Linked DNA regions of Schizosaccharomyces pombe. Changing the gene in region 4 together with the main gene of any one other region gives a genetic interaction. Each region holds a gene or a part of one and is shown on either strand. Other genes may lie near its edges. The genes, in order: rad54, pnk1, rad26 and srs2.

The links.
Region 1: mutations in srs2 (region 4) and rad54 are lethal when combined (synthetic lethality), as found in Schizosaccharomyces pombe (3 studies listed by BioGRID, with this or other methods).
Region 2: mutations in srs2 (region 4) and pnk1 impair growth when combined (synthetic growth defect), as found in Schizosaccharomyces pombe (2 studies listed by BioGRID, with this or other methods).
Region 3: mutations in srs2 (region 4) and rad26 are lethal when combined (synthetic lethality), as found in Schizosaccharomyces pombe (3 studies listed by BioGRID, with this or other methods).

Annotation. Positions count from the first base shown.
Region 1 is NC_003424.3:3,679,860-3,685,241, forward strand, and holds rad54 (DNA repair protein), read right to left. Parts: upstream 3,407-5,382; 5' UTR 3,287-3,406; coding exon 728-3,286; 3' UTR 501-727; downstream 1-500. Other genes in the region: EF-1 alpha-binding zinc finger protein Zpr1, read right to left, coding at 3,863-5,242. UniProt on the Schizosaccharomyces pombe protein: Plays an essential role in homologous recombination (HR) which is a major pathway for repairing DNA double-strand breaks (DSBs), single-stranded DNA (ssDNA) gaps, and stalled or collapsed replication forks.
Region 2 is NC_003424.3:2,135,487-2,141,435, reverse strand, and holds pnk1 (DNA kinase/phosphatase Pnk1), read left to right. Parts: upstream 1-1,968; 5' UTR 1,969-1,997; coding exon 1,998-2,538; exon of another isoform or gene 2,539-2,561; intron 2,562-2,591; coding exon 2,592-2,987; intron 2,988-3,026; coding exon 3,027-3,169; intron 3,170-3,225; coding exon 3,226-3,372; 3' UTR 3,373-3,494; coding exon of another isoform or gene 3,495-5,291; 3' UTR 5,292-5,402; downstream 5,403-5,949. Other genes in the region: ipp1 (inorganic pyrophosphatase), read right to left, coding at 38-907; mpp10 (U3 snoRNP-associated protein Mpp1), read right to left, coding at 3,495-5,291; rps23 (40S ribosomal protein uS12), read left to right, coding at 5,648-5,949. UniProt on the Schizosaccharomyces pombe protein: Catalyzes the phosphorylation of DNA at 5'-hydroxyl termini and can dephosphorylate its 3'-phosphate termini. Has a role in the repair of breaks in single-stranded DNA.
Region 3 is NC_003424.3:4,448,905-4,453,910, forward strand, and holds rad26 (ATR checkpoint kinase regulatory subunit Rad26), read left to right. Parts: upstream 1-1,700; 5' UTR 1,701-1,941; intron 1,942-2,021; 5' UTR 2,022-2,210; coding exon 2,211-2,960; exon of another isoform or gene 2,961-3,015; coding exon 3,016-3,681; intron 3,682-3,736; coding exon 3,737-4,165; 3' UTR 4,166-4,465; downstream 4,466-5,006. Other genes in the region: GTPase Ypt2, read right to left, coding at 11-613; atd1 (aldehyde dehydrogenase), read right to left, coding at 4,656-5,006.
Region 4 is NC_003424.3:3,830,680-3,836,254, forward strand, and holds srs2 (UvrD subfamily ATP-dependent DNA helicase), read left to right. Parts: upstream 1-1,599; 5' UTR 1,600-2,095; coding exon 2,096-2,457; intron 2,458-2,522; coding exon 2,523-2,787; intron 2,788-2,807; exon of another isoform or gene 2,808-2,832; coding exon 2,833-3,263; exon of another isoform or gene 3,264-3,308; coding exon 3,309-4,914; 3' UTR 4,915-4,947; coding exon of another isoform or gene 4,948-4,993; 3' UTR 4,994-5,039; downstream 5,040-5,575. Other genes in the region: SPOM_SPAC4H3.04C (uncharacterized protein), read right to left, coding at 391-1,004, 1,096-1,277, 1,337-1,470; SPOM_SPAC4H3.16 (uncharacterized protein), read right to left, coding at 4,948-4,993, 5,040-5,247, 5,288-5,357. UniProt on the Schizosaccharomyces pombe protein: ATP-dependent DNA helicase involved in DNA repair at least for UV-induced lesions. Also aids the recombinational repair of camptothecin-induced collapsed replication forks.

The DNA.
Region 1 (5,382 bases), 150 kb from region 4:
TCCGTTGCCAGCAAACTTGATATTTGTCGATTGGCTTTATAATCCGGGTCTAACTACTATTGAATGTTACTATTTTTGTTAAGTAAATATGCATATATAATATTTAGAAGTAATATATAAGATTGCAAATGAAACAACCCTTAAATAAATAATTGGTTATGTAAGCTTCTACCTATATTGGAACATTCACGAGTTTGAACGTCCAAAGTATTTAGACATAAGCAATGTTTATATAAGCTATTAGAGTGACAAAAAGCATATAAGATGTATGCAGTTTGCCTAAAAGTAGCTACATGGTTAATAACAAAAATTCGAGACATCCCAATCTTAATATAGAAAAGCAGTGCTAAAACTGTCACGGGTTCGAATACTAACAAATGCAATTTCAAATGTTTCAGAAAAATATGACAAATTATATGCTCTTAACAATTGAATATAACATTCTAAAAAAAAAAATTTATTTCAGCATACCTGTAAATTCGTAATAATTTTGTCACAAAGCTTACCAAGGAGTAATTGAGGTTTGGTAGGATACAATTGAGGGTTGGATATTAATTAAATTAAAAACTATATTTTAAAAACCGGAATTAAATTCATGATATTGTTTTATGCATCGAATAGCAAATCAAACAGGGATAAAGAGAGGTGAGAGTAGTTTAAAGACAAATCAAACTAAATGAAAATATGAGGATTTGTGAAGAGAGCAGCGTAATTAAACACGTAAAAATTAATGAGATTTGTATTGGAAAACGGTACTCACTTGCTGTTTTCCTGCCTCACGTTTTAGCAAGTGATCTTCTATTCGGTCTAATGTGGGATTTGTAAAATGATTCCATGTGCTAGTATCACCGTATAACATGGCTGGGGCTCGGATGAATTGTTTTCCATCACGACACCGTTTACATTTATATGTTTCATGAGTTTCACAGACTGTGTGATCGTTAAGCTGAAACAGCTGCCTTAAGTTATCAAGCGAAAAATGTCTTTCGACATCTTGAGCTTCATCCACAACACAAGAAGACAAAGATTGCTTATGAGACTGCCTTTGGAATATCTTTTCTTCGATGGTTCCAGTAGCTATGAAACGGTAAACAAAGCAGTCCTTCTTTTGCCCATCACGCCAAACTCGAGCTAAAGCTTGTTGATCGGCGGCTGGATTCCAATCGGGATCAAACAGAATAAGACGATTAGCGCCAATAAGGTTAATACCACAACCACCTGCTTTAGAAGATAATAAAAACACAAAAGCATCCTTTTCCGGGTCATTGAATGTGTCAACTAAACGTTGTCGTTTATTTACATTCATAGTACCATCTAGCCGAAGAGCCTTGTAACCGCGAGCTCTACAAAGCTGCTCAAACAAGTCAAGCGTGGAGGTGTAATTGCTAATTAAAACAATTTTATCGTCTGTCTCTTGTTTTATTTGATAGAGCATTCGTTCCAACACTAACATTTTACCTGATAAAGAGGAGTCAATGTTTCTATCGCGCCCTCTTAGCTCACGGGGAATAAATCCTGGAGGGAATAGAGCCTCACAACCTTCCAAGTCCTCAGTTAAATTCAATAGATCAGGATGATTACATATTTTTTTTAGCAGACCTATAGCTTTTAGTGGTTGACTGCCGGTCCCCCTTAAGATTTTATTGATTTCAGGCGAGGTAATAAAATGCTTGTACAAAGAAAGCTGAAATTCGGAAAGGTTGCAAAAGACAACATGTTCGTATTTAACAGGCAAATATTTGGAGAGAATATCATTCGTACGACGAATAATAAACCGATTGACAATCTTGGCTAACTCAGCTAACTTAGCATCACCATTCTCCTTATCTTTTTCTGTTCCGTCAGCATCACGACCTTTTAAAATTGGAATTTCATAATTTTTTCTGAACTCTTGCCTTGAACCTAACAACCCAGGATTCGCAAAATTTAACAACGAAAAGTATTCGCTTAGATCATTTTGAATAGGGGTACCAGAAAGGATGACACGCCTTTGAACGTTTAGCTTGTCTAATGCCGTAAAAGTCAAAGAATCACTATTCTTAAGACGATGACCTTCGTCACAAAGAAGCATTCCAATTTCTGCGTTGTTGAGATGCTCAACATAACTTCTAAGGGTTTCATAACTGGCAATAAGCACTGGACGTGTGACTTGTCGTCCATGTACGGATGCCCATTGTTGCAAAGCCATGATTAACTCCTGTTTGGAGCTTTTACCGTCCAATATGAATGGAGTAATAGCATCTTTTCCTAACCATTTGACAAGTTCATTAGCCCAATTTTTGACTAAAGAAGAAGGACAAGTTATAATTGCCTTTTCAATTGTCGGTTTTCCAGCCTGAGGAGACTGTTTTAAAAGGGTCCATAACAAAGCAATACATTGAAGTGTCTTACCAAGTCCCATCTCATCTGCCATAATACATCCATTTGCACAACGGTCAATCCTTCCAGTTACACACTTGTACAAGAATTTGACACCTTCTATTTGATGAGGTCTTAGAATACGAGCAAGTTTTGGATCAATGACAACAGCAACAGGAGGAGGTGGAGGTTTTTCTTTCTGAATTCCTAGTAGATCTTTCAAACTTTTATTTGGTCTTCTATGCTTTGAGGTATTAGAGGTTATGAGACTTTGCTCGGTAGAACAGCTAGCCACTGTGTCAGTGGAGACACATGAATCATGGTCACTTTCAGGCTCACTATCAGAAATTTCTTTCTTTCCTTTTCGATTTTTTAACAATTCATCTTTTTTACGTTTTTCCGCTAAGACCTCTTTTATATCAGGAATGATCTCATCTGCATCAGTAGTGGGATCATATAAAACGATAGCAAATTCATCAGCAGGATCGTAAAGGGGACGAGGAATAAAATCCACCTTCCTTTTCATTCCCAGTGTAGGAGGTGGACGATGTGCACACAGTTTAGATATATCTTCATGACCCTTGATAGGTTTAGGCACAGAGAACTGTTTCTTAATGACTGTTGAGGGATCTCGTCGTTCATGATTTAGTATTAATCGATTAGCTTCTTTGATGGTTGCCAACCCAGACACATTTTCAGATACGTAAGCTGAATCATACTTCCCATCAACAGAACCATATTCGCTGTAGTTAACTCTTGGCTTTTTGCGTAAAGGAAGCTCTTTTCGCTTTTCTGAAATCACTAAAGAAGGGCATTTAAACTTTTTAAACAACTTTCCAGGAACATTCTCTTTGTTTTTTGATAAAACAGTATTTAACTTTGAAGAAGTAGAAATTCTAGGTTTAGCAGTTGTTGGTTGCTGAATCATTAAATATATTAGCAATTATTAAAAAAGAGATTACTGAAATAGAAGAAAGGGTAGGAAAAGAGGGATAAGGATTCAAACAAAAAAAAAAGGAAAGTGCTGTTTATACCAATGGTATGTGTTGAGAAATATCTAGATGTATATATAAATTAAATTCTATTACTATTATAGCGTGTCGCGTTCTTTAAATTACGCACCATTGTTACCCTTCACTAAACATGGTATACAAATAATGAAATTGTGAAATATGAATCAATTATTTCTGGTATCGGCTAAATATGTGTTACAAGTTTGTTATTGGTAATAATTTTAGCTTCACTATCTAACATTTCTTGTAGCAAATTTTATGGTTTACTAATACTTCGAATTATTAGCCTCATAACATTTGCGATAAATCAAGTAACTATTTTAAACTAAAAGTAAAATAATAAAGCATCAGTCTCTAACAAAAACATTACGGGAAATAAAAATTAGCTAATCTACTATACTATTATATCTTCATAGTCAATAAACCCCCCAAAAAAACATAGTATTACTATATTAAATACATTCCCTAACATTTGACAAAAACCTCGAACTTTACTTCTTACCTCCATCCTTTTCATAGTTTTCTGTCTTCATATCGTTCAGACCCAATTCCTCATTTACTTGGAATGAACGTTCATACTCCTCAATAGTCATATTTGGATCTGGATCGGGAGCGTAATAATTCTGCAGATAACTTTGTGAAAGAGGATCATCTAAAATAAGAGTGAATTGAGTAGCACCCTCACGTGCAGCCGTCAAGTTGCAGAGAAATTGTTGCCAGTTAGCGACTTGCTCAGGAGTCATAGAATCGGTCTCCTGAGAAAACACACGGCCATATAACTCATCATAAACTTGAGCTAGAAGACCTTCAATGGTTGTGAATCGTCCACCCAAAGTACCTGGGAACAAATCAAGTCCAAGTTCAGGAATTTTAAGAGATGCGGTTTCAGATTTGAGAATATCACGGGATAAGTCCTCGGCATCCATGACCTTTAAAGTAATTTTTCGACCTTTGGGTGGAATTTCACCACCAGTTTTTACTTCGTTGGAACGATATCCACAACGATCACAAACAGTAGACATGATAATAACTTCTTTGAAATGGGGAATATCAAGCAACTTCATGTGGGTGTCACATTGATGTGAACAAGAGGGACAAGTTGCATGGAAGGTATGTACCTCATTGGGATCGACTTCCACAGCAGTAGCATCATGTTTAAGTGTATTAGAAGCGTTGTTTGTTTGTGTCTTGACGTCTTCAGGTTGATCAGTATCCACAAGACCCAGCTTCGTATTCTGCTCCAAAGTACGCTTGTAGCTAACCTGAGACCATCGGTCACCATCTCGGCCAGGTTTCATCTCGATCCAGCTGTTGCCCGTAATATCGTCAACTGTGATGGTAAATGGTACAGATCCAGAACGTAGACTATTCACTTTCTCAATGAAAGCATTTATTTGGTCATATAACTGAGGAGCAGACTCCTTACGAGATTCTTGTTCTTTACTTAAATCATCCACCACATTACTCAGAATCCCCTCAATGGTAGTTAACTGGCCTAACCTTCCCGGGATTTCTAGCTGAATTTCAGGAATACTGACAATAGCCTCCTGGCTCTTTACAACTGTCCGATTTAAATCTTCCTTATCCTCAACATGGAAAGTAATTTTGCTTCCTTCCGGTTGAATTGTCTCAGCGTGTTGAACTTGCGCATTCTTAAACCCACAATGAGGACATTCAAACGACATTAAAACAACCTCACGGAAGTATGGAATGACCGTCAACAATAATTTAGTAGTACCGTTTTTTCCACACTCCATACACAACGATTCGACTTCTTGAACACCATTTCCTTCCCTATCCTCAGCTGTTGACACATTTTGTGCAGCATTGCCAATACTTGTGAACAATTCTTCCTTTTTTTCTTCCGCCATGCTCTCAAATTTTCTTTTTAGCGTTATTTTGATTAGATGTGTTTAAGGACAAGTACAGAATAACTTGTACCAATATAAAATTTGTCTTCACTTGAATGGAAAAAATTTTCCTTAATGACCCAATATAAACTGTCTTTAAT
Region 2 (5,949 bases), 1.7 Mb from region 4:
ATAGTCTATATTCTATATTATAGTGTGATACTACTACTTAAAGAGGAGAGCCAGAAATGTAGAACCATTTGTGAACGCTGGGATCAACAGGAGCAGGAGCGAGCTCTTGAGCAGGAGGAATAGTGCTGGAAACGGAAGGGTCATTGGCAACAGATCCAGTGACTGAAACATTGACCAAAGAAAAGTCAGACTTGGCATCAGTCTTACCGGTAATAAGGCGCTCCCAAGCTTCATTGCACTCACGAACAACTTCTTCAGCATACTTACGGTTCTTGCATTCACCACTGAAAGCAAAGGAATTTTCAGGCTTGCCATCGGGGATCTTGTAAATGCGGAACCACTCGTTAGTAGCACGGATTAAGCCAGGCATATGACGTTCAACATCCTCAATATCATTAAGCTTAGGAGCTAAAGGGTCATTAACGTCGATGACAATAACCTTCCAGTCAGTCTCACCCTCGTCAAGAAGGGCCATAACACCCAAGACCTTAACTTGCTTGACTTGGCCGGTGTAGCCACGAGCTTCACCGATCTCACAAACATCGAGAGGATCGCTATCACCCTTGGCCTTGGTTTCAGGATGAACAACATTAGGATCCTCATAGGTTTGAGGAAAAGCACCGTAGTTCCAAATGTAACCGTGGTGAGGAAAGCAGTTACGAACGAAACGAAGCTTACCCTTCTTAGTATCTTGCTTGATAGGGTTCAAGGTAGCTTCCTTGGTAATTTCAAGCTTAGCCTGAGTCCAACGAGGGATCTCAACGACCATGTTCAAGATGGTCTTCTCAGCATTGGCATACAAGGGGATATCGTGCCAAGAAGAGATAGGAGTACCATTTTTCTCAACATAGACTTGGTAGTCCAATGTGTTCAAAGCGCCAACTTCACGGGTAGTGTATTCACTCATGACTGAAAAGTGTTTTTGGTTAAGTACAGGTTGCAATGTGCACTAATTCGCAACATCTGCTACAAAATTTGTAACTCAATGTATACAAAAAATCTTATATTAATTTATAAAATTTTCTAAGGAACAGGTTTATATTTTTAATATCGCATGTTTTTATTTTATACAGCATAAAGATGGATTTGTGAATCTTACATAGGGTAATACTGTTATAAAGTTACTTTCTTTAGCAATACTTTATTAAATGATTGATAGTAAAGGAGATTTCCACAACATGATAAAAATTTAGCACAAATAAATTATTAAAATTAAATTGTTTTACGAGAATTTATCAATTTTTTATATTAAACACAATCAAAGATATTTATTAGCCTTGTATGCAGGTTTCTTTTCTGTCGATATGGATCTTGTGGAATACTGATTTTGCGATCAGTAAATTCTTGGCTGATGCAGTAGAAGCCATAATGTTTATATAAAAATATACGAAATATTTAAATTAATTAATTATGGAAATTTTTGTTTTTAAATTCCAGATCAGCTACTAAAAAAGATAAATGACAAACGAAAAAATAATGCAAAAAAAAGCTCATACATAAAAACAAAATATTGCCGATGTCCTTCATTTTTTGTTTAAAAATAAACGGTTTAATTTTAAACGATACCAAAAAAAAAAAACTAATGTTCGTAAATAACGAGATATGCAATTGTTAATGAATAAGATGTAGGTCTCAAATATGTTATTTGTGAAATCTTTGAATGGTTGCCAAATAATAAATTAGACGAATAAATTAAAGAATTTTCTTGTTATTTATTGTCTAAATTTCTTCGAATAAGAATTATTTTCAAGTCAGTAAACATATTAAATCTTCGATTAAGGACTATATGATATAATATATCTTCTCACTAATTGTTGTATATGAGGCATTTTATGTAATTGATCAAAAACAATTGAAAATTCAATAGAGCGAAAAATAAAATTTTCATCTGTTATCCATTTTTAAGTATGTTATTGAAACCACCCATTTTCATTGCTATGCAATTATAATATAGCTAACTCAATTACCAAGTCCCATTTAGTATTTCGTCAATCGCGATGTCGTCGAAAAAAAGAAAGTCTCCCCCCCAGGAATCTTTAACTTCATATTTTGAAAAATCGTCTAAATCCTCAAAAAAGTACGGCTCTCAAAACAAAGATTCTGATTCATCCTCGACATGCCTTCAACAGAAAATAGAAATTCAATGGAGCATCACCGATTCATTATACATAGCAAAGTATGGAAAACTAAAAAAGACTAAAAAATTTATTGCATTTGATTTAGATGGAACGCTCATAAAAACTAAATCTGGTAGAGTATTTTCAAAAGATGCAGCTGACTGGACCTGGTGGCATCCAAGCGTTGTCCCAAAATTGAAGGCTTTATACCAAGACAATTATTCTCTTGTTATTTTCAGTAATCAAAACGGAATTCCAAGAAAACCTTCTGCCGGACATACCTTTCAGATGAAGATTCGTGCTATTTTTGAGTCATTAGATCTACCTATTGTATTGTATGCTGCCATCTTGAAAGATAAGTTTAGAAAACCATTGACAGGAATGTGGAATTCCTTTTTAAAAGACGTGAACCGTTCAATTGGTGAGTTGACGCTTGTAATTTATCAAGGCCTATTAACATTTTTCACCCTTTAGATTTATCTTTCATCAAATACGTAGGTGATGCTGCAGGCCGTCCGGGTGATCATAATTCAACTGATTTAAAGTTTGCTGAAAACATTGGGATTAAATTTGAGACGCCCGAGCAATTTTTCTTGGGGCATTCATTTGTGCCTCCAAACTTTGAATCATTTCATCCAAAGAATTACCTTGTAAGAAATTCTTCTTCACATCCATACCATTTTAAAAAATCCGAGCATCAAGAAATTGTTGTTTTAGTTGGGTTTCCTTCTTCTGGGAAGAGTACTTTAGCTGAATCTCAGATTGTCACTCAAGGATACGAAAGGGTAAATCAAGACATCTTAAAAACGAAATCAAAATGCATCAAGGCTGCCATAGAGGCACTTAAAAAAGAAAAATCGGTTGTCATAGGTATGTACTCGATCATTTCAACGACTTACGCGATTTCAGACAACACAAACCCTACAATAGAATCACGAAAAATGTGGATTGACATAGCCCAAGAATTTGAGATCCCTATACGCTGCATTCATCTTCAGTCATCTGAGGAACTTGCCAGACACAACAACGTTTTCCGTTACATTCACCATAACGTAAGTTACCTGTTGGAGCATTAGAAAGACTTAGAAGAATTCCTAACCAATTCTAGCAAAAACAACTTCCCGAGATAGCGTTTAATTCTTTCAAATCTCGTTTTCAAATGCCAACAGTAGAAGAAGGTTTTACAAATGTTGAAGAAGTTCCTTTTAAATGCCTTAAAGACTATGAAGATACATGGAATTATTGGTACGAATAATACGAATGATATCTAAGAAATTATTAAATTGCATTAATTTCAAAAATATATAGTTATTGATCCCACTAAAACCAAACGTTTATAAAAATTATGACTAGCACACTTAACACCGAAATTTATCTTCAAAGCTTTAGCTGATTTGAAGAAACAATCGGATGATATTTGTTTGAATTACTTGCAACCTTTTTGCGCTCACCTCCTTTACCAATGACCTCAACATTCGATTTTGATAATTGACGAACGACTTGTTCAGTACCGGAATTCCTTCTTTTCTCAGCCATTTGCTTACGTTTCTCAGCATGTTTTCTACGCACCCGCCTGCGGCGTGCTTGCTTTTGTTGGTGGTCCATTTCAGTCGATGAAATGGCGATACCTGACCGAGTAATAGTTTCACCTTCACGATTCTCATTAGACGGTTTATAAACTTCTTGAGGAGCCAATGCCATAGTGTCAGAGGCAGCAGTTGGCTGAACGTCCTCCATTGCTAAAGTGGGTGCATTAGAAACAATTTCAACAGTAGACTCAGGAGGAGGGGGAACATAATGCCAAGAAGCAAGAGAATCTAAAGTGCGGCTGACTTCCGAAAACAATGCCTTGATTTCTTCATGTTCTTTTTCTTTCTTTTTATCAGCTTCACTCTTATATGTGTCGGCGTTGCTCTTTTTAAGGAATTCTTCTTCATATTCTTCTGCTAAAGAACGCTGAGACTTATTTTCGTTTAACTCGAATAATTCGCTTGGTCGAAATTCAGTAACAGCAACTGGCGCGCGTTTAGGTACATCATCAAATGTTTTGGAAATAATTCGGTTTTTAATTAAATCTTCTAATGTCTCAGTAGTCTCTTCCGTTTGTACAGGGACAGGTTTAGCACCAGTTTCAAATTCCAAATCAACGTCTAACAGTGAATTAGAAGGTCGTCCTTTAGACGTTGCCTCCCCCATCATGGTCCAGGACTTCTTGGCAACGTTTTCAGCCTCGAGCTCACGAATTTGCTGAGTCAAACGGGCTTTATCGCGCTCATAAGAAGATAATTGATCAGCTGAAACATCGTCTTCTTCGTCACTAGCAAATAAATCTTTCTTCACTCGATCAAAGGTAGCATACTCATTGTCAGAGCTCTCATTATTTTCTTCAATAACATTTTGTTGCACATCATTTTTGAAATCCGGTTTACTTGTTCTTTTTCTTTTGGATTCGGCCTTTTTCTTTTTTAGTTCACGGCGACCGGCCGCTGTTTTTGGACCAAAAAAATCTTCGTACATAATGGAGTCAGCCTGAGGACCATTTGATTCATCTTCAGAGTCTTCCATATTCTCATCGGGATCCATTAACAAGTCAATACCGTCATCTTCATCGCCGAGGACACCCTCTTCGACTGCTTCCTCTTCTAAAGCTAAGGTTTGCTTGTTAAAATTATCAATATCAAAAAAACCATCATTAAGTCCAAATGCGTCTTTTTTCTGTTCGATTTGTTGTCCTTCTTCATTCATAATTTCAGCTTCATCTCCTGAAACATCTTCGGCAGAACTTTCGTCGACATCTTCTAGATTTTCTGGACCAGAGAACCCTAAAAATTCATCATCAGCATCATCCCGATTGTTCATTTCACTATTGTCAGAGAGTTCCTGATGACTTGTTTCATCATCCTCATCCTGGAAAGAAGTAATGCTATCTTCTTCTTCGTCTTCGTTTTCAACATCAACTTGAGGGAGATCATCTAATGCATACTTGGCAGCTAATGCTAGTTGGTTATATATTTGCCAATTATCTAATCCTTTTGTGACAATTGTTTGGATGGGACTTGTAGATGGGATTTTTATATTTGAGAAAACCTCAATAGCTTTTTCAACCAATTGCTTTGAATCCTCTTTATTCGGGAACAAAAAGAGTGTTGGCTCGGAATTTATAAGTTCAGTCATATCAAATCTTTTTTTTTTTTTAAATCTCACAAAACTTTGACTAAATATCTTGGAAGTATTCCAAGTACGAAACAAATAAATACCAATTGAGCTTAAATATTACACACCAAACCTTTTGCAAAGTACTTGCAACTCCTTTTTCCAAAATAATCAAAAAGACGTATGTTTTTTGTTTTAGATGTTTTTTCTTTTTTGTAATGTAGTAAAATTTTAGTAAGTATGGGCATCAACAATTTACTTAGTGAAGCGTTGCGTACTATATTATATAAGAAGGGTAGGGTTTGTGACTGTTTTGGACATAAAGCTAAGTTCACCTAAATCCAACACACAGTTCGCCGCAACCTCTATACTACAAAATGGGAAAACCCGCAGGATTGAACGCCGCTCGTAAGCTTCGCAATCATCGCCGTGAGGAGCGTTGGGCCGATGCTCATTACAAGAAGCGCTTATTGGGAACCGCTTACAAGTCATCACCTTTCGGTGGATCGTCTCATGCTAAGGGTATCGTTGTCGAAAAGATTGGTGTAGAAGCTAAGCAACCTAACTCTGCTATTCGTAAATGTGTTCGTGTTCAGTTGATCAAGAATGGTAAGAAAGTTACCGCTTTCGTTCCCCACGATGGTTGTCTCAACTTCGTTGATGAAAACGACGAAGTTCT
Region 3 (5,006 bases), 620 kb from region 4:
AATAAGGAGCCTAACAACACCTCTTCACCGTACGATCGTTTCCGAGGTCAACGTTATTTGCCTGGTTGGAAAATTCGTTTTCTGCATCAATCTTTTGTTTTTTTATTTCCCGGGCAAGGGTAAAAAATGCCTCATCTACATTGACGTTCGTCTTCGCACTAGCTTCTAAAAATTTAACGCCCAGCTCATCGGCTAACGCTTGTCCCTGTTCAAAGGAGACCTGACGCTGATCCTCACAATCACATTTATTTCCAATAAGGATTTTATAAACATTTTCACTAGCATGTTGTTCAACGTTACTAAACCAAGTTCGGACGTTATCAAATGATTTTTTATCAGTTACATCGTATAACAATAAAATACCCATTGCACCACGATAATAAGCAGTGGTAATGGTACGGAAACGTTCCTGGCCAGCAGTGTCCCAAATTTGGAGTTTGATACGTTTTCCATCTAGTTCAATCGTGCGAATCTTGAAATCAATTCCAATCGTTGTGATAAAAGAAGGGGTAAACGAGTCTTCCGAAAATCTCAGAAGAAGACATGATTTTCCCACACCTGAATCTCCTATGAGAAGTAATTTGATTAAATAATCGTAGGATTTTGTAGACATGGAGGAGTGTTGCTTTTGCCAGGTGGTAAGTGGTAGAATCTACTGGAGTCCCTTGAGATAATGCCGCAAAAATACACTTAAATTTATTAATTCAAGTAATGTTATTGTATAAATGGTACTAGTTTTATTTAAGTCTTTGTTTGTGTTTTTTTATGTTGAAAAAACATGACTTTCAACTTTTTTATGTACGTTTCCTAAGGGCAATAAACTCGAAGTTTTGATAAAGGAAGTCACTATTCTAGGGCACATACATACACTCTTGAGAAAGTAACAAAGATATTCACAAGAGAAATAATTCAGATTTCATGTCAGAGAAAAATCTCTGTCACTAAACAATTTACTAGCCATGGATTAATTTATACGATTTGAATGACTGGTAATATGACTAATATAGTACTGCATTGATCAATTTAATCAATGTTTATATGACTGTCATTGACCTAAACATACTTATAATTAACGCTTTAAGTGTTTTGGTTTAGATTTTTCCTTTTTATTTTTGATAATATAGTAAATGGATGGGGGAGAAACAATGAACTTAACGTTAATTCATATGATCATCATTTTAGGCTTTGTCATTGTTGTTCGAGTTGAAACAATAAACCGTTTAAACCAGCATAAACTATAAAATGTTCTACGATTAGGAGTTGGACTGTCTGAAAATAAATAACTTTTAAATTTTTCGAGGTTATGAGTATTCAATAGAGATTGAAATTAATAATTTCTACAATAAAACAAAATAACAAATTATTTCATTTTATCCATTGATATATTTGGTTAGACTACAATTCGATCTTACTTTTTTAATAATATTTTCATTTTTTTAATTCTTTTATGTTTATTAATTCGAATAAATGATGGAAGCCATTTGTCATAACACCTTAATTTAAGTATAAAAAATATTTTTCTCATGTTTTATTTTTAAAAGCATTCAAACATCATACACTTATTTTATTTATTTTTTATTATTGACAATTCAAATACTTGATTTTTGGCTAATAGTGATTTACAGTACTTGAGGTCTTATTGTCGATTACGTAACTCGTAAAACTTCAAGTTGGCTATTCGATTGCTAACCAAAATGCACTAATACGCCAAGTTCAACAAGTAAATTAAAGATCACAAGAAATACTCATAGCAGTTAAACGTATCGTTAAAGCATCTTATATAGCTGCGCATTTTGGAAAAGACTATCTTATTTATCATATCTGTTGGTGCTCTGCAAAATCAATTCATATTGCTACAAGGGTTCAATTATTCATACAGGAAGTTACGCGATTAAGCAGCCTTAGTGACTGCAGTCATATTCTGCTATTAGTGTTTCGTTTGTATGTGGTATTCATACTAGAAAGAGATATGGTTTTTCGGCCTTATCTTCTCTGCATAATATTGCTTACTAACTGTTAAGGTTTTCCAATTGCTGAATTACGATAATTACAGTTACCAAGGTTGCTGAAAGTATTTGAAACAATTTACGATTTATTATGAATTCAATTCTTTTTTACAGAATAAGAAAAACATTGGGCCCATATTACAATTTGGAATCACTTCAAACAACTATTGTTACGCATAAACGAGAGTGAAAGCTACAAACAAAATGATGGCTGATGAAAGTTTTGACTTGGAGAGTTTGGGTTCGGATGAAATATTTGAAGGCGTGAATTTAGATGAATTAGAGCAACAAGCTCAAACCCAGGTTCAAGCTCAAAGTTCTCAAGTAGTTGTACCGAGTGAAAAGCAAAAGCAAAATTTAAATCTTCCAAATTCATACACCAATTCTTCTCAAAAAGTCCGGGAATCTACCGTAAACTCACAAGCCTCATTATCCTCTAATGACCTTCGAACAGAACTTTTAATTAAGTCGGGAGAAAATGCAATTCTTCGTGCTAACCTTCTAAAACAATCCGAAGCTAATAATGCCGCCCTAGAATCGTTAAATAATTCTATAAAGCAAAAGCAAGATGAATACCAACGGAAATTAGAGGAGCTTAAAAAAGAAATTGAATACGCAAAAACGAAATCCCTATTTCATGAGCGTGAAGCACAGGATGCTATCGAAACTATGAAAAAAATGAAAAGAGATGTAAAGAATTCTCCGATTATGAAAAAATCCCATGAAGAAGATGGTGACAATAAATTGTTATCTTCTTCTGATCAGCTTGCTAAGAGCACAAAGCATGCTGCAAAAAACAGCCCTTCTAAAAAGAAGCGCAAAACAAGTGTTGCTACTGCTGAAGATGCTTCAACGGATAGTGTGAGTTCTAGTATTGCTATATCAGATGCAAGTTTGTCTTTGAGCCTGATGAAAGATTTACTTTCTCTACAAAAAAGAGAAGATTTGTATTTTGTAAGTATTTTTAAACTGTCGTGTTAAATTTTATTCCCTTTTCTTACTTTTCTAGTCTTCTAGAACTTTAGCATACGTATTTGGTGGTTGTATGCATTCATTAGAAACAATTGAAGGAGAGGAGGAAGGTGAATGTTTGTTTAATAACTTGAAAGCTCTAATATACAGTCCCGATCTATCTATGGATTCCTCCAATTATGTACAATCTGTCGTTCAAACATCATCGTCGATTTTAAATTATTCAATGAAAAAATTATTATATAATGCCTCCTTTGCTATAACATCTTTGTTTAATGCATTATTAATTTTGGACCCTAAATCATCCACCTTTATCTTTCAGGAAAATGTCGTTTCTTTAATAAGTGGTTTTCTTCTTAAGGAATACGAAAAAAGCAATTTTTTGGACTCAAAGTTTTACGTTTTAATAGATTTTCTTTATTTATACTTATCTATAGCACGTGAAAGTGCTGATGACTTTGCAAACATTACTAAAGCGGTTGATCCGTCGTTATTCGAATCCTGCATTCGAGTGCAAAATGCTCCTTCTTTGATTAAATGTGGTGTTTGTTTAATTATTAGTTCCACCACTCCTTCGTTTTGCGCTTCAGTTAACTTGTTAAATGCCGATGATAAATCCCAAGAATCACTCATGCAACTTTTCACAACTATGGCCCATATTTTAGTTGTTACTACTAGGGAAAGGATTAATTTTCCTGAATTGGTACGTTTACGAATTGTGCTTATAATCTTTGCATTGCTTATTTCTAACAAATTAGAATGAATGGATAACGCTTCATCGCTTTGTCATATCCTTTTTTACCGTGTTTATACAAATGTCTGGAAACATTGGTAAAGAGATTTTAAAAGTATGCAATCCCTTAATAGTATGCATCGGACTAGCCATCACTTGGTATCATCAGCAACTCCTTTCGTCAATGTACCCTCAAAATGAATGCGTAGAGATTTTAGTATCTCTTGTTCGGCTTCTGTACATTTTATCTTCCGAAGATTTATCATCAAAATTTATGTTAGCTGAAAATGCGTTACAACCTCGTTTCGTTTATGCAATAGCATGCTGCGCATTCGGCGATACTGAACAAAAAGCGTTTGGCAATTTGGGTGAGGAAATGTATTTTCTCACTACAGAATTGTTGGAAGTTTGCGTCTCTCCCGAAGAGCTGGAGCAGTTGTACACTAATTTTTAGATAATGAAACAGATGAATCTATTTCCCTAATTTTTCAAATGAAATAATGATACTTGTTTCTTCAGTGTTGTTCTTTCCCGTCCCGCACCCACATCCTCGCAAATTAAATACAAATCAATCTGTTTCCCCAAAGGAATGCGTACCACAAAAACATCCCCATTCCGTTCTTTTAGTAAAACTTACGGCTATATTTACCTGCAAATAAAATCATCTAGCAATTAACGAAAATGAATATATTAAAGTACCACTAACATAAAGAATCATCACTATGTAAATTCAATAAAATGCATTTGAAAGTTCAAATATCAAAACCGTTTTGATTCATAATAAAGAAAATCCGTCATAGAAGAGTTTCAAGAAAAACTGTAAACATTCATAACATAAAGAGAAAAATCCAATAATTCTCTTCACTAGAGTTTTTCTTCATTCTTTATCCATTGAATGCATATTTTTTTATTTTTTTTACAAAAAATATTTGCGTCTGATTTCCTTAAATGGGAGAATCCATTCCCAGGTTGATGTGAACAGCTTTTGTTTGAGTATAATTGGTAAGACCGTAAGAGCCCAATTCGCGACCGATGCCACTCTCCTTATAACCACCAAAGGGAATTTGGTGATGAAGTAAGTTATAACAATTCACCCAAACAGTACCGGCTTCAAGAGCATTGCTGACCTTGATGGCATTGGTAATATTGTTAGTGTGTACACCAGCAGCTAAACCATATGTACTGTTGTTACCGCGACGGATGGCCTCCTCGATGGTCTTGAATTTAATGACGGCAAGAACGGGTCCAAAAATTTCCTCCTTACCGACAGCCATGTCCTCGGTAACGTTGGAGAG
Region 4 (5,575 bases):
TTTCGTTACTAATCGTGTAAAAGAAATTTGTTCAGAATATCAAAAACAGTAGTTTTATACATAGTAGAAAGATTTAAAAATTGATTAATTCTCAAGAGAGACCAATTGATACATACAGAAAACAAAAAAATTATATAAATGGAAAAGGGTATGTTTCGTAAATGTTGCAATTGAGAAATAAAGCGCATTTCATTTATCGTAATTTGCCTAGATCAGAAAAAGCATTGCAAAATTAGCCTCCTGAGTATGAATCTGATGATAATAACTAACAAACACAGGTTGCATAATACATGTTCCGATAATTTTCGGCTCTCAAATACTTAAATATATGATCGTTTCGCATCAGCCGTTTCAAGTCATGAAAAAAATAATAATAAAATATCAACAATACTATGCGGTTGCGGTTGCATAGCTAACGCTGCTATCGGTGACCAATTCAACATGGCTACTTTGAGCGTACGAAATAAACTTGAATCTTTCAGAGAAATTGGCGCATTCCATAGATTTCATAATGAGTTCTATAGGGTAACGGCCGCATATGGTGTTTTGAGTGGTTTTCAAATACTCTGAAAAGTCATCACTACTTTTCGTTTCAATAATTTTCATACCAATATGATCCAAATTAGATATAGACTCATAAATTTTGGGACTAGTGGGGCCACCTCGTCTTTTGTATTTTAAGACTGCATCCTCTAATTGATTCGTATCGTTCAAATAAAGGGTATATCCAAATCTTCTTCCCCAATGACAAAAATCGGAAGATATAACAAATGAATTTGATTCATCTTTAATATACTGACTCAGAAATTTCGCTGCTGCCATCATTGTGGTTGAAGTTAAGGCACCTATCATGATAGGAACAATTTTGACTTTTCCCAAGCATCCTTGTTTCAGCAAATGAAAAGCTAAAAGAGGGAATTGCATTTCGAGGCTATGTTCACTTTCATCCACATCCAAGGTCATTGAGTCGAAGCTGTTATCGCTAGCGACGAGTTTCTGACATACTATATAAATTTCCAGTTAGCAAATAATCTGTGCTGAGAAATAGACAGTAGCAATTTAGTAAAACTACTAAGCAAAACTGTTTTCACATACAGTCTTCATCCACTTTCAAATCACCTAAAGGTGTTGAGCAGATGCTAGCTCGACTGACTAGGCATTTTCTAGTAAAGATGTGATGAGAAGGCCCAAAAACAAAAACTCTCTGAATTTTCGAAAAGTCCAATTGCTGAAATCCTTGGGATGCGACTTTCCCACTATACATGTAACCAGCATGTCTGCTCAATATTTAGCTATATACTGAATATCACATAAATTATAAGTTGTCTATACGTACGGTGAAATGACAAACCGTTTCCCAGTCTCGGGCGTTGGGTTTTTGATAAATGATTTTAATTGCTTAGTTAGTAATTCTGTATCATCCAAATACCAAGATCCTGCATGAGTTGCTTCACGAATGGCTTGTGACATGAGATAAATTGAAGAATAATATTGATACGTTCAAATTGTAATTCGGTTTGTGATGTTCGTTTGACAATGGGTATTATTTTCTGAACAACACACTGTTACATATATCTTGCTTTCTTGCCTTCATCATTTGCGTTTTGCTGCACTAACACCACTTTTGGGAGGTCGAAACACAAGACTAAGACAATCGCAAAATCAGGTTTTCACACAATAAAATCATTACTTAAGAATACTGAATTGAAAGGCTTTCATTTGTTATACGTTCACGATTTACTCAAATTTCTTGTAGTAAAAACAGGTGGATTAAAATCTTTTTCGTATCCGTGTATCAGCCCTTTCGCGCTGGTAGGTCAATCGAGAATACTAAGAAATTGCAAGTGTTGTTTTCAACTAAATAAGGGTTGATCTTCTAAATTATTTCACCTATGCTATGCTTTCGTTAAAATAATAAGTATTTGTTAATTTTCTTAGTTTGACGTGTCATCGTTTCACAATTTAATATTTATTACCCGACAACTCATCGGAAAAGACCGTGTTTGGCCAAAAATCTTTGCATTGTTTTCCTATTTCTCACTTTTTTAAAATATACATTTGAAGCTGTCGGTTGAGTGTTTTGTTCTTCTCAATTATGGAAACGAAATCATCATACTTGAAGTTTCTGAATGAAGAACAAAGGATTAGTGTTCAGAGTCCTCATAAGTATACTCAAATTTTAGCCGGTCCTGGGTCTGGAAAAACCCGTGTTCTTACCGCTCGAGTAGCCTATTTACTTCAAAAGAACCATATTGCAGCCGAAGATTTAATTATAGCCACCTTTACGAACAAAGCCGCAAATGAAATAAAGCTCAGAATTGAAGCTATTTTGGGGAATAGTGAAGCCTCTAAGCTTATTTCTGGGACGTTTCATTCTATAGCGTACAAGTATTTGGTTAAATATGGCAAGCATATAGGGCTATCCTCAAATTGGTTGATTGCTGACAGAAATGATACGTATGTCTTGTTTACACTTTTCTAACTTTTACTTCTCCACTTTCAACCATTGCTGATCTATTTAGTCAAGCTATTATGAAGCGACTTTTAGACTCTCTCAAGAAAGCTAAAAATCCGATTGCTTCTGGTATTAGAGGACAAGAATTGACTCCTCAGAATGCTCTAAATCGCATAACTAAATTAAAGTCCAACGGTCTTCTTGTTAAACCTGGAATGGATCAGTTGAGTTTGATTAATGGTCTGGAAGAACCACCTAAAGAGCTTCAAAGCCATCAATCTGTTGAATTGTATAGACTTTATCAAACTTCCTTATGGAAGAACAATTTAGCGGTACGTAACAAGCATAAAGTTGTATGTATATATCTAACTATTTAGGATTTTGATGATTTGCTTTTAAACTTTATTTTATTACTTCAAAAGCAACCAGATTGTGTGAGGAATATAAAACATATTTTAATCGATGAATTTCAAGATACTAGCAAAATCCAATATTTTCTTGTTAAGCTTTTGGCATTGCAAAATTCAGATATCACGATTGTTGGCGATCCCGATCAATCAATCTATGGATTTCGAAGTGCTGAAATTAGGAACTTAAACCAAATGTCTGAAGACTTTGAAGGTACCCAAGTGCTTCATTTGGAAAGAAATTACCGTTCAGCTAAACCTATACTTGAATTAGCACTGTCTATCATTTCACAGGACAAAAGCAGGCCTAAGAAGGGGCTCAAAAGTAATCACATCTCTTCCTTAAAGCCTCATTACCGATTGTTTGAAACTAACAATAAAGAATCTTACTGGATCGCAAGGTTCGTATGGCTTCATTGCATGAAAGTTTACTAACGATTCTTTAGAGAAATTAAACGTATAGTAGGTTCTTGTCCAGAGCTTATATTTTATAACGATATCGCAATCCTTGTAAGGTCCTCCAGCCTTACAAGAAGTTTAGAACATGCACTTTCCGAACTTGGTGTGCCCTACCGCATGGTTGGAGTTAACAAGTTTTTTGATAGAGAAGAGATTCGAGACTTAATAGCTTACTTGAGAGTCCTAGCTAACAAAGATTCGACTTCTTTAATTCGTGTCATCAATGTCCCTCCTAGAAATATTGGCAAAACAAAAATCGACCGTATTATTTTCGAAAGTGAAAGAAGAGGATTGACCTTTTGGCAAACTTTAAATGAAGTAAAGAATGAAAATATTTTACTTTCTCAAAGAAATGACAAGAGTTTTCTAAAGTCTTTAAAGTCTTTTCTTTGTTCAATCTCCAAACTTGAAAATCGTTACTTGTCTAATGGGCACTCAGCAACTCTTAGTGATTTACTTTTGGGAATACTTTCTGAGATTAAATATTACGAATACCTGGTTCGGAAAAATAAAGAAACTGTCGAAGAAAAATGGGAAAATGTAATGGAGCTTGTACAACAAAGCGATAACATATCTTGTATATTCTATGAATTAGATTACAAAATATCAACAATTGTTCTATTGCAGAATTTTTTGACTCAAATCGCTCTTGTGAATGAAGAACAGAAAGAGGGCGAATCTCAGAAGGTTACCATTTCAACCCTTCACGCAGCTAAGGGTTTAGAGTGGCCTGTTGTATTTTTACCTTGTCTTTGTGAAAATATTATCCCTCATTCTCGTTCAGACGACCTCGACGAGGAAAGAAGGCTGCTATATGTCGGTGCCACACGTGCACAGGCGCTACTGTATCTATCTTCCTTTAAAAGCGTCACTGGAATGTTTGCAGATATGCAGAACTCAGACAATGTACAGGACGTCAGTCCATTTTTAAAAGGAGAAGAAATGAAAAGATGGGTGATGGAAAGTGAAATAGTTTTTAATGAAAAGATTGCTTCTGAAATTGGAACCATATTGGGTCGGAAATCTTATGGGAAAATAACTAATTTAAGCGGTATTGGTTCAAATGCAAATCATAACGGAACTAAATTCGAAAACTTGGGCTTCCAATGCTGTCGTGTTCTAGCTGAGGCAGAATTGAAAAAGAGAGAACGAGTCAAAAGTGTCAATGACTATAATAAAGATGAAACAAATTTTAGAAAACATAATGCCAAGAGATCGAAAACCGATATACGAAGTTGGTTTGAGAAAAAACAACCAATCGATTCAGATGTAGAGATTTCTGAGCCGTCAAGGTCCGCAAGCATAATGGTTGCAAATAAAGATTTAAATGATCGAAGTTTTGAAACTGTCAATCGTATTGTATCGACAAGAGCCTCAACGACAAACGCTTCTTTCATGAGCAGCGTCAGACAAAATCTTGGTAGAGGTCCTTCTACGAAAGATCAGGTAATAAATAGAACGTTGAGGGAAGGTCACCAAGATGTTGTGCAACATACTGACCTTAATCAATCAAATACTAAGGTCGCGAGTGCCCGTCCTGCTGGTTCGAGAAAACGATTGGGTGTAAGGCTACGAGTTTCACGAATGTTATAGTCATATCATGTTGTACAAAATCACGTATTATATTTATAGACAATCTAAACACCTTGCTACGGTGTTTTCTTTAAAATACCTACATATAATGTCAGCTTGAAAATAGATACAGATAATAAACTTACATTAGAGTACTACAGTTTCGACAAATATTTCGTTGGCAGCGATCACATGTAGAAAGATATAATACGTTATCACAAAATTCGCAAACACCGGTAGATGAAGGCAGATGGTCATTGTCAGTAACAAAATTAACCTTTTCATTTAAAACGATAGAAGAGGCATCATGGGCATTACTTTTTTTGCTTGCAAACAAACTAAGAAAAGATCTCACTTAGAAGCTTAGTAAAAAATCGCTAAATTCTTCACTTACTATCCAAATGATTTTTACACTTCTTTCTTGGTAACCTACTAGGAACATGTTCAGAACGACATCTTTTCATAGCTAAATCTCGGATACTTCGAGTTTCAAAAAAATGTGACACGTTGTTCTACCCTCTTAAAGCCTTATCGAGGTGTTGTTTTGTTTTTGTGGAACGCGGACTAGATGGCTAGTGCATGGTCTAATGGACTGTACAGGAATGGTCAAATAGGCGATACTTCTTGTCAAAATATAGCACTAAATGCATTTTTGAACCCTGTATATATTCGAAAAAAATAC